Linked DNA regions of Arabidopsis thaliana. The protein of the gene in region 1 interacts with the protein of each later gene in a biochemical or structural test. Each region holds a gene or a part of one and is shown on either strand. Other genes may lie near its edges.

Evidence for each region.
Region 2: of the proteins of AT3G45190 (region 1) and MC9, one has a biochemical effect on the other in vitro, tested with the Arabidopsis thaliana proteins (one large-scale study listed by BioGRID).

Annotation. Positions count from the first base shown.
Region 1 is NC_003074.8:16,542,176-16,550,424, reverse strand, and holds the start of AT3G45190 (SIT4 phosphatase-associated family protein), read left to right. Parts: upstream 1-2,057; 5' UTR 2,058-2,263; coding exon 2,264-2,302; intron 2,303-2,802; coding exon 2,803-2,906; exon of another isoform or gene 2,907-3,164; coding exon of another isoform or gene 3,165-3,193; coding exon 3,194-3,280; intron 3,281-3,392; coding exon 3,393-3,468; intron 3,469-3,582; coding exon 3,583-3,657; intron 3,658-3,779; coding exon 3,780-3,833; intron 3,834-4,175; coding exon 4,176-4,235; intron 4,236-4,312; coding exon 4,313-4,429; intron 4,430-4,822; coding exon 4,823-4,917; intron 4,918-4,998; coding exon 4,999-5,207; intron 5,208-5,625; coding exon 5,626-5,723; intron 5,724-5,873; coding exon 5,874-5,977; intron 5,978-6,079; coding exon 6,080-6,242; intron 6,243-6,521; coding exon 6,522-6,644; intron 6,645-6,997; coding exon 6,998-7,080; intron 7,081-7,301; coding exon 7,302-7,440; intron 7,441-7,511; coding exon 7,512-7,541; intron 7,542-7,623; coding exon 7,624-7,694; intron 7,695-7,788; coding exon 7,789-8,249. Other genes in the region: AT3G45200 (uncharacterized protein), read left to right, coding at 695-1,597.
Region 2 is NC_003076.8:1,151,820-1,155,837, forward strand, and holds MC9 (metacaspase 9), read left to right. Parts: upstream 1-1,920; 5' UTR 1,921-2,073; coding exon 2,074-3,051; 3' UTR 3,052-3,221; downstream 3,222-4,018. Other genes in the region: PKS4 (phytochrome kinase substrate 4), read left to right, coding at 1-515; AT5G04210 (CCCH-type zinc fingerfamily protein with RNA-binding domain-containing protein), read right to left, coding at 3,236-3,671, 3,760-3,905. UniProt on the Arabidopsis thaliana protein: Cysteine protease that cleaves specifically after arginine or lysine residues. Does not cleave caspase-specific substrates. Required for proteolytic processing of GRI.

The DNA.
Region 1 (8,249 bases):
ATGAGAAAGGACAATTTTCTTTAGAGGCATGACAAAATCTTATCATTGCATACAATGTATATAGGCATGACAAAATCTTATTGACCACCTTAATTAAGAATTTTTTTTGGTGTATGGTATATAAGATTTTAGTAAGAATGATATATATATATATATATATTAAATTTTATTTTATTTATGGTTTAGTCCTTAAAACTCAATGCTAATAACTAAAGTAGAAAATAATATTTTTTGTCCTCAAATTTGTTTAGTTATGAGTTGTATATATAATAGTTCACATCACATGAAAAGAATTTTGTTTTAGTTCTGAGTTGAATATGTAATAGTCCACATTACATGTAAGTGAACAAAACTAACTTAAAAAGATGTTCATAACTAACTGTTACTTATAAGTAATCATAAAATATCTAGTTTGTGCTTAGATAAAAACAATCAAATTCTTGTATTTATTAACGAACGAGTTATATTGCGTATTACTTTTAACTTAAAGGGATTGACCTGCACATTTTGGAGATAAGGGTTAAGATGCGAAAAATGACAAGTTGGAGGGTCTTTTTTTATGTTCTTTTTGCAAAAACCCCTAAAAACACGGGCTTTTAGGTGTATAAAACGAGGCGATTAGATAATAAAATGCATTCCAACAACTTCTAGATTTCTTTCACATTCACCAAACTTTCTACAGTCAAATTCGATTATGTCTCTTCTCAACGCACAAGAACTACATGTTTTCCATGCTCAAGACAGAGAGATATTCTCTAAATTGGTCCTCAAATTCTCAAGGCCTCCAGCTGAGTCACTTCTTGTCATGGCCACATGGCTTTGGCTCGAGGACTTTGGCTTTGAAAACATTTTCTCAATCATCCTCACTCTCACAGATCCACTCATTGCCGGTCTTGCTTACGAAGCTGTCTCATGCTTTCAGTGCCTTTCTTTAAACAATCCCCCAATTGGCCGAATCCCTCTCACCACAAAATATCTGAAAAAGAATATATCACTCCAAATGATCTACAAAAATCGATATAGTGCTATCACAGGAATCAAAAACTTCTTAACCACTGTTTGTACCAGAATCTTCACCGACATCCTTCTACGAGTTCTTCCACCTTCTTCAATGTCTTCCTTTGACGCAAGACTTCGCCAACCTCTTCAAATCCCCGGGTTCCCTCATCCGATTTTTGGAAGCATCAATGTGATGCCTAATGAAGTTGATAGGGATAATTTCTCCAACAAGAACAACAACTTATTTTTCATCCCAAATGGTCTATGGGGCTGGAACGCTAATTGCATCGCCACTGAGAACGATCGGACCTTGTTTTTAACATTTTCTCGTGGTTATCCAGTGACTCATGCTGAGATAATTGAGCTCTTTACCAAGGAGTATGGAGAAAATTGTGTTGAGGGAGTTTACATGCAACATGACAACAAAAGATCTTTCAATGCAAACGCAAATAGGAGCTGCGAGCAACAATCACTATTTGCGAGGCTTGTCTTGGACTCGGTTACTACCGTGGACCGCGTACTCGATGACGAGCAGAAAAAAGAGCTTATGATTTACGGAAAGAACATTTGGGCTCGTAAGTATGATAAGAGGGAGTGAGGGACAAACTTACCTAATTGATCGATCAAAGCTAAAAGAAGATTTTATTTTTCGTTTCGACACATTTGTAATTGTAATGTTAAAATTATTTATCTTATGTTGTAGTCTATATATAATTATTAAAGATCATATGTAAGCCCAACCACGTTTGGCTGCTTCAATTTGAAGGGATTATAAAAGATGTTACACTTGTTAGCAATATAGAACTTTTTGATAAAAAAGAAATAGGAGCGAGTACTTTAAACCAAGAAAATATACTACATCATTAGAACCTCAAAATCGGTTTACACTAATCCAAACTAAACCAAGCTTCTAATCACTCGTATCTCTCTCAAATACGAACCAATCGTGCAACTAGTAGTCACAAGCATCATACTCTAAAACAAATAATATTTCTTTCATATAGTTTTATTTTAAATATATTTATTTGCTGAGATTAGTTTTTTTTTTTTTTTTTTTTTTTGGATGCTTTCTAACATTATGTGATTTCTCATTTCGTGCCTCTTCTTCTTCACCACCAGCATCAAATTAGGGTTTTTTTTTTTTTTTCCAGGCGAGTTTTTTTGACGAGTGCTCTAAGATTTAGTGATTGAGTTTCGCTCTGATAAGAGATCTAATTAGCTCGTCTTCTTCTTCTTCTTCTTCTTCTTCATCATCATCCTCACCATGTTTTGGAAGTTGACTGCTCTCTCTGCTGCTTCACCGGTGAGTATACAAAGTCTTCTCTACTCATGAATTCGTACTTAGTATCGTTTTATTCTGAATCGATTGTTTCTTTCTGAATCTGCTTTGTTCTTACGCAAAGTGAAGATTTCTGAAATGTTTTAGATTTCGTTTGTTATTGAACTGATTGATTTCGCCTGTAAATTAATTGTGTGGAGGTTAATTGTTTCGATACTGATACTGAATTTGATTTCGGATGTTATTTACTGCTTCGAATTTGTTGTTTTCTTCACGCCACTGTTATTGTGTATCATTGATTTTTGTCTTCCAATAGTTTCATAGTCATGGTGATGTTTGGTTCGTGTGGTTTCATTGTTCAATATAGTGGCGGGAGCTAGAATTTGTAATCATCTCTTATAAACTTCATTTGTAATTGATGTTTTGATGGAAATTGTTCTTGGAAGCTGGTAATGTGTAGTTTAGAGAAGAGAGAAACTAAATAGGAATGATGTAGTTCCTTATCTTTTACTTGCGATTGACAGGTTGAATCCATATTAGACAAGGAAGATTTCACTTTGGAAGAACTTTTGGATGAGGAAGACATAATCCAAGAATGCAGAGCTTTGAACAGCCGGCTCATAAATTTGTAATTCATTTTAGGCGTCCTCTTTTTTTAACCTTGTTGTAGTTTATGTGTAGATTTGGTATGCTTTTTAGTTTGTACTATGACATGTGTCTTCTCTCTATATTAACCATTCCTTAAAAAGATTGAAGAGGATATGCAATCCAGCAGATATTGCACGAAAAGTAGTTAGATTCATGTTTTCTTTGCAGGATGACCCTGTTATGCTATGCAAGTTTTAGTTTCTCATAGTAGTAGCAAGGATTGCAATGTTGGCCTTTTATGCTTTTATTTTATATGCTCATTTGCAGTCTGAGAGAAAGAGCCCAAGTGGAACAGTTATTACGTTTTATTGTTGAAGAATCTCCTGAAGATGCAGACAGCAAGCGCGCTTTCAAGTATGTGCCTCCTTTCTTTTGCTGATTAGCTTTATCCAGACGTACAGTTGACCTGATTTTTTGGAATATTTCTGGGAACTTTCATGAACTTTAAAGCATATTTTTCTATTAGGTTTCCTTTCATCTCCTCTGAAGTCTTGACCTGTGAAATTGATGTAATTCTCAAGACTTTAGTGGACGAGGAGGAGGTATTGTCCTAGTTTTCTTCTTCCTTTATTATGATGAATGCAGAACCTTGTTATTTTGAGTTAGATGTGTCTTTTACTCTGGTCTCACTTAATGGTTCATACTTCTTGTTGCAGCTAATGAACCTACTTTTCTCCTTTTTGGAACCCAACCGTTCCCACAGTGTAATGCTAGCTGGGTATTTCAGCAAGGTAATGTTTTCATTGGTCACTTTCAATAGTTCATTTTAGAATTTTAGTTCTTACTTTTTAGATATTATGTCTCCACATGTTTGTTACTTACCACCAATGTATCTTGTCTCTTCTGGGAATAGGTTGTCATATGCCTCATGTTGAGGAAGACGGTCCCGCTGATGAACTATGTAAAAGTGAGTTCTCTATTTGGATGTTCATTTGAAAATCTTGCAAATAGCACAACGATCATGCGAAGCTCTGATTGAAAATAAAATTTGTGTGGCAGAAAGCATATTAAGTGGGATGTTCCCAGTCCTTGTAATTTTTTGTGCTCAATAAATTTTTCTTCGACCTACTGTTAATGATAATTATACTATGTCGATATAAATGACGTTGTGGTTTAGGTAGAAAATCCTTGAATAGTTTGACATATTATTGAGGTGCACCTTTTTTTTTTTATACTTGTTACTCAGTGAATTATGTGGTGTGCAGTCAATAGAAAAGAAGCAAATAATGTTTTACAATACCATATACAGGCCCATCAGAATGTTTTCCAGCAACTGGTTGATTTGATAGGGATCACGTCCATTATGGAGGTAAACCTTCTCTCTCCTCTTATCCTTATATTTGATTCTGGTAATCACTTGTAAGCTTATGCATGTGATTTATATAGGTTCTTATCCGGTTGGTTGGTGCGGATGATCATGTGTATCCTAACCACCTAGATGTGATGCAATGGTTAGCTGATAGCAATCTGCTTGAAATGATTGTGGATAAGCTTAGCCCATCAGTAAGTAATTTGTTAAAGCGTCTATTCATCAAATGATTGAAATATAGGAAGAATGAGCTTTTTTGAGCCACTTCTGTTCTTCTCGTTATTATTGTTTTACTATTAACTGGGATCTGTTGGTTCTTCATGTCGAAAAAGCACATTGTTTTACCTTTATAAGACAAGAGACTAGTAGAGAATAGTTGGAGAGACTCTCCTGCATTTGCCATCTCTGTTTTATTCGTGATGCGGTTTTTGATTCCCTACTACCAAATTCGTAAATGTAGTGTTGAGAGGCTTCTCTGCATGTGTGGTTATTATTTCGGTCAAACAATAAGACTTACATTTTCTAATTTTGAATAGTTCAGATATGAATATTCTGAAAGTTTTGTTTTTATTTTTGGCTTGGATCAGAACTCTCTTGAAGTTCATGCAAATGCTGCTGAAACACTGTGCACTATCGCTCAAAATGCACCGTCACCGTTGGCTACCAAACTTTCTAGTTCAAGGTTTGTAGGATGTCTTATTGTCTTAAATATGCTAAAACATGTTTAAATTGTATGATGATTCAGTGACCTTTTTGTTTGCAGTTTTGTTGCAAGGATATTTGGTCATGCTTTCGAAGATCCTCAGTCCAAATCTAGCCTTGTCCACACACTTTCGGTGTGCATTTCATTGTTGAGCCCAAGAAGATCTGTAGTTTCTTCCCCCTTTATGTATTCATTCAGGGGACAACAAATCTTCGAGTCTCCAATTTCTGTGAATCCGGAGACTATTGCCACCATGCTGCCTAGACTTGGTCAGTGTAACAAAATGACACATTGTGTTCTGTACATGAGTGCATATGATCATATCATTCTTGTTTTTGCTGCTGAATATTTTTCATCAGAACACTTGTATTAGCTCTTTTACTGATTGCTAGGATTCGATTCTATCTTTTTGGTTCATCCTAACATTGATTAATGTCTGATTCTGTACTGTCAATAAATGTTTGCAAATCAATGATTATCTTCTACTTTATTATTGTATTGCTGCAATTTCGTGCATCATTCCATTTTCTTAATAGTAGTTTCTGCGTATATTATTTGATCTTTCTAGCTGGATATATTTCAGCTTTCATTCTTGTTGAACATATATAATTTAAAATTTGACTCCACTTCTTTATGTGATTGGACCACTGACTTGAATTTCGTACCTGGCTTTCATCTGTGGTGCAGGTGACTTTGTCGCACTTTTAAATGTGACCTCTGATGAAAAGATTTTACCTACAACCTATGGGCAGTTGAGGCCTCCTCTTGGCAGTCATCGTCTGAAGGTCAGGTTTCATTTTGAAATTTTAGTTATTGTCAACTGGAAGATGGTTTAGTTATAAGGTGGATCTTGGATCTACACATATACTCTTGTGTGTGTTTTCTGTTGTGTAATATTATTCTGATTTCGTTTTTGTTGCTGATGGCTTGCTTAGATTGTGGAGTTCATTGCTGTCTTGCTGAAAACTCGAAGTGAAGCAACAGGAAAAGAACTAGCTAGCTCAGGAGCTATTAGAAGAGTCCTTGATCTGTTCTTTGAGTAAATACACTCCACTCCCTGGATCGATTACAAAATTTTAAATTCTTTGTTATTCCGCGCTTGGCTAAATTCATCTTTCAATTGTTCATTCCAACTATGCAGGTACCCGTATAATAATGCTCTGCATCATCAGGTGGAGAGTATAATTTTATCGTGTTTAGAAAGCAAGAACGATGAGATAGTTGACCATCTTCTCCGAGAGTGTGATTTGATTGGAAAAATTATTAAAACAGAGAAACAGCCAATTCTTTCTGGTGATAAGCAGGTATGAATTGTTTTGCGCATGCTTATGAGTAAAGTTTGTCTAGAGAGATAATACACAATTTACCATGTTCTGTGAGACATGATGTTGAACTACTTCTGTCATCAGTTCTGTGAGGCAAGATTTGGATTCTGTGGTTTGCAAAGCAATTATAGTTATCGTTATACCTTCTTTTTGTTTTTAAAATCAGATTCAGAAATGGCCTGTTATATCCACTTCTCGACTTTTCTTAAGGATAAGGTGTACTGAGTTATAGATATAATTGATTCTGCTTTCATGCAGCCAACATTAGCTGCTGCTGGAAAGCAGGCTCCACGGGTGGGGAATGTTGGTCATATCTCAAGAATCTCAAACAAGCTTGTTCAGCTGTCAACTAACAGTAACCAGATAAAGACTTTACTTGAGGTTCGTTTTTCAGTAACAGTAACCTTTTATTGTAACAATGATTGCAGATTTACTGTTATCTGCAGTATACCATCTTTCTACATAAATTGATTTGAGTTGTGATTATTGGTGTTTGTCAATATCTACTCTATTGTATCACTCTGTTATGTACTCGTTGGAGTAAAAACAGTGTAAATTACTTTGTATTCTCTTTACAGAACCCATCAAGATGTGTCCATAATGAAATATCCTATGTCTAACTAATTTTCTTTCTAATATTTAGGCATGGTTTTACGTCAAATGTTGTGTACGTGTATAGCTGCATTTTGTTTGGTACATACAACATTCTGATACGTTCTGTTTTTCTTTGTTAGGAAAATAACGATTGGGGTGAGTGGGAAGCTAATACGTTGCATGATCGAAATGCAGTTGAGAATGTGTATCGCTGGGTTTGCGGGTACACCTCTGATCAAACATTTATGGCTTCTTGTCACACTATTGATGCAACTATCAGTCGAGTATTTACACTTTCAGAATATATTTGCTAGGTTGTCTTAGTAAAAGCATAGAAATATAATAGGAAACTTGGTCCAAACACTTTCAGGTTTGACAATAGTTGGCACAGTATCTAGTTCCGATTTTGTCTCTTAATGATAATTCACTTTATATCGCATGCAGACGCCCGACTGCATTACATGATAGGACTAGGGACAGTGATGATGACGAAGTCCATGATAGGGATTATGATCTTGCTGGTTTAGCTAATAACTTGAACCAGTTCAGATACAACATGCAAGAGAACAATGGTGCTGGAGAGGTAGTTGTTAATCTCTCTGATTTATTTCTTAAAATTTTGGCTGAATCTAAATTCCATGTTTCTCGTTCCAGGAGCATGGTTCTAATGACAGAGATGAAGAGGTATTCATTATAGTTATATATTATGTTCTACGTTTATAGAAAACATCGTCTACAACAGACCTGACTGTAACATATTCTGTAGGATGTCTATTTTGATGATGAATCTGCTGAAGTTGTTATATCATCTCTAAGGCTTGGTGATGAACAAGCGAAGTAAGCTTTCAGGGCTAGTTTATCAAATCCATGTATTAGGTAGAAAAGAACAAAGGGCTCCAAAAACCAATGAAATGTTTTTTTCTTGATGCAGCAATTTATTCACCAACTCGAACTGGTTCACGTTCCAAGGAGATGAATTAGGCGAAAACACAGGAACAGGAGCGATTTCTTCCGAGGAAGCAATGGAAGATGTAAGCTTGAATGAAACTTCCGATGGCGGAGATGAAGAAGACGAAGACGAAGACTGTTTGATTACAGAAAGCAAGAACCCTTTTGTTGACTCAACTGCAGCCACAGCCTCAACCTCAGAAGCAGTCTCTGTAGACGCTGATATCGAGATTGATGAAGATGTGGGTACAGATGAATTGTCACCTGAATGGGTTGAACGTAATGATTCATCTTCAGCCATTGCACCGGGAAGTACAGATGATGTGAAGATGCCTGATGTGAGAATCCCAAACGGTTCTTCATCCTCAGAAGGTGAGATTAGCCCGAGATCACCGCCTGTACCTTCATTGTTTGGAAAAGATGTTGAGTTTGTGGGAGTTGAGC
Region 2 (4,018 bases), on another chromosome or scaffold:
TGAATCATATTAAACCGGTACGAATTGAACCGGCTCTGCTTCCGATTAAACCGGTTCTGAATCCTACGAGTCCCAAGGGAGTCATCATAGACGAAGAAGCCACAAGCGACGCAAGCTCCGATCTTTTTGAGATAGAGAGCTTCTCTACTCAAACCGCAGCTCGTCCATGGGCTCCACCAGTACGGGACTCGATGGAAGAGACCGTGTCTGAGTACGGTTACGAGCCAAGCGAAGCAAGTGTTACTTGGAGCGTTATGACCGCCGAGCCGGCCTCGGCCGTTGCAGCTAACTTCTCAAGAATTGCCTTGTCGTCATCGTCTACAGCATTTAGTGGTTACGATAAGAAGAGAACCGGTTTGTTGAACTGTCATTGTGAGAAGGCGGTTATGGTTAACGGCGATAAGCGTTTAGTGCAACCGGTTAAGAGCGTTGGTGTTCAAAACGACGTCGCGGGAAAGGTGTTGTGCAACAATGGCAGTTCTAAACTAAGCGTGACGAGTAGACCAAGGCAATGATGGATACCAAATCTTTGTTCTTGGTTTAGATCCGGTTTTCTCCAGTTATCTTGGTGTGTTTTGGATGCTTCTCGTGTAAAATTGCTCTGTTTTTTCTTCTTCTTTTTTTTGGTTAATATAACTTGTGTAATGATTAATGAAGATTATGGTTTGTGAAGTAAACAAAATCAATGTGTCCTGTATTTATCACAATATTGATCACATTTTTTTGTAATAACCGGAGTAAATCCCGGAGTGAAACCCAAACTAATCCTCAATACTTGTATGTTGTATTTAAGGCGTCTATAGTCAAGAAATAGATTCGTAGCCTTGACCCACATAGCGAATCCTCTATCCACTCGAACAAACCAATGGACCACAAAACACTTGGTTATACGATTTCTTTCTTTAGAAACCTCATCCACTACTTCTTTGAGGTCCCATGGAAACATCAATCTTCAAAGATTGTAGGCGGGCTGAATTGAGCAAAAGAAGATGCCCCATGTGTCTTTGTTGTAGGTACATTCAGAAAACAAGTGGTTCTTGGATTCAGGTGCATTACAGAGGAGACAAAAATTTCAAGAATATTCATGCCCCAATTCCTTAATCTATCACGAGTTGGGAACTTGGGAGATGATTCCAAGCCGTTACCCAAGAGATAATAAATGCATGCATAGGAATATAAACAACTTTATGCAATAAACAGACTGTAGTATTGGTCATCGATTTAGTTTTGTTTATTTGTTAAAAACATAATCCAGCATGTGTTTTTATCACATAAAACCAAAAAGAAAAATTCTCAGTTGATGAAGACGTTTAATTTCTGATTAGTCTTTCGTTTACTAAAAGCTTTATCTTTTAATTTGAATGCTTTTTATTTTGTTAAAGAGTTTACCATTGAAAGTTTGATTTCTTTTTTGGGGATATAACTTGTAAATATGAAGTCAAGAGTTAGGCTCGTAGGTGAAGTGAAGATGGTGCTAATAGCATAAATGGTTCGTCTCAAAAAGACTTTTCCGTTGCGTGCACGAAGTATATAGACGGTCCTTTAGGATTAAGGCAAATTATAGTTTGGTCAATTGACATTATTTTCAACAATGTATACGTTATATACATTCGTATATCATAGCATTTAAAGTTAATTAGCTCCTCTCTTCCCTTAGATAGCTAGATGGATTAGGTCTAAATATTTGGGAAAATGACTTCCCTTTTGAAGTTACGTATATATCCAAGTTAACCAAATTAATCATGAATCCATGACTTAGGATTAATTATGTCTTTCTCAAAAGTCTGATTTAAGGTTTAGTTTCTTGCTTGAAAGCATTAATAAGTCAAGAGTAAGCCATTAAAAAATGTTCCATAGCTTAAAAGCAAACTAGACTTGAAAATATAAATACTAATATCGTATGTAACTTGAACTTCACTACACGAAACCTCAATCATAAATACACATTAGCTCCAAAACCACAACACTGCACATGAAAACTAAACACACGTACACAAGAAACCCCAAAACATTTTGCCTAGAAAGTTGTTTAAATTACCTCTTAAACCTTAAGAAATCATATCCAGAAACTCAATGGATCAACAAGGGATGGTCAAGAAAAGACTAGCCGTTCTCGTCGGCTGCAACTACCCTAACACAAGGAACGAGCTTCACGGTTGCATCAATGATGTTCTAGCCATGAAAGAAACTATTTTGTCACGTTTCGGATTCAAACAAGACGACATTGAGGTGCTAACGGACGAGCCAGAATCAAAGGTAAAGCCGACAGGTGCCAACATCAAGGCTGCTCTACGTAGGATGGTGGATAAAGCTCAAGCCGGATCTGGAGACATCTTGTTCTTCCACTACAGTGGCCATGGAACTCGTATTCCTTCGGTTAAATCTGCTCATCCTTTTAAACAAGACGAAGCTATTGTTCCTTGTGATTTCAATCTCATCACAGATGTTGATTTCCGAGAATTGGTCAATCAACTTCCTAAAGGAACAAGCTTTACCATGATCTCTGATTCTTGCCATAGTGGTGGTCTCATCGACAAGGAGAAAGAACAGATCGGACCCTCTTCGGTCTCCAGCAACATATCTCCGGCTATTGAGACAACGAACAAGACTATAACATCACGTGCCTTGCCCTTCAAGGCAGTCCTTGACCACTTGAGTTCTCTCACCGGAATTACAACTTCCGACATCGGCACACATCTACTTGAGCTCTTTGGCCGCGATGCTGGTCTTAAGTTTCGGTTACCGGCAATGGATCTAATGGATCTTTTGGAGACTATGACGGCCCGTGAAAAACACGTGGACTCAGGGATATTGATGAGCGGGTGTCAGGCGGATGAGACGTCTGCTGACGTCGGCGTTGGGAACGGGAAAGCGTACGGAGCGTTTAGCAACGCGATTCAAAGGGTGTTGAACGAAAATGAAGGTGCCATGAAGAACAAGCAACTAGTGATGATGGCAAGGGATGTGCTTGAGAGACTAGGGTTTCATCAACACCCTTGTCTCTACTGCAGCGACCAGAACGCAGACGCGACGTTCCTTTCTCAACCTTGAATTTTAAACGTTTGCGTTGTTTTCTTTTATTTGTTTTATCACGTTTGCCTTTGGGGTTGTTGTAAATTGTTAACTGGTGGAATGTGTGTATTTTCTATTCTCTGTGGTGTACTCTAAAAGGAAAAAGGACATATAAAACTTGTTTAATAACATTTATCTTTTTTAATGGTACAAAAAGGTTTAATTAAAGCTTTTCTAGAGAATGTACTAATTTAGTTACCAAGTCAGCAGTATTGGAGCTAGAAGAACCAACCTCTTGGGTTGAAGAAATGGCAGCACCAGTCATTTTGTGCTGCCATTTTTCAGTAGGTCCCCACAAGAGTTTAACCCTCTGGCCTTTGATGTCAGTCCAGGAGGAGAGCTCAAGCATGGCCTTCTCAGCAGCTAGACGGGTAGTGTAAGTGAGGAAGGCACAGGTGCCTCCTCCTCGGTGGGGGAAGATAACAATAGATTCGATTTCACCATAGGGGCAGAAATGGTCTCGGATGTCCTGCTCGAGGACACTGGAGTTAATAAGTCTACGGATGTAAAGAGTTTTAATACTTTGATCCTCTGGTGGTTTCAAAGGGCCCGTGTTACAAGCTCTTGCAAGCACCTCGAGTACAAATGGGTTTTCTAACCTGCGGTGAAGAAAAATACATGAAACACACAAACAAACAAAGACTCGAGAATATATATACATCTATATATGTATGTAGAATAGCTTACCCAGAACGACCATGACAATCTAAGCCTCTGTTGATCTCATGGCGGTATAGACACATGGTACCTCTTGTACACTGGCGACCAGCGTCGAATAAAGGACAAATTGGTATGCAGTCTAGTTTCCTACTTTTATCCTCAATTTGGGCCATAAAAAACTACATTGAAGACAAACAATCAATATATCACCAGACCACGTAGATACAAGCAACTAGACGAAATTGGTAGCGCTAACTAATTCCTAAAACATAAGAAGAAGATTTAC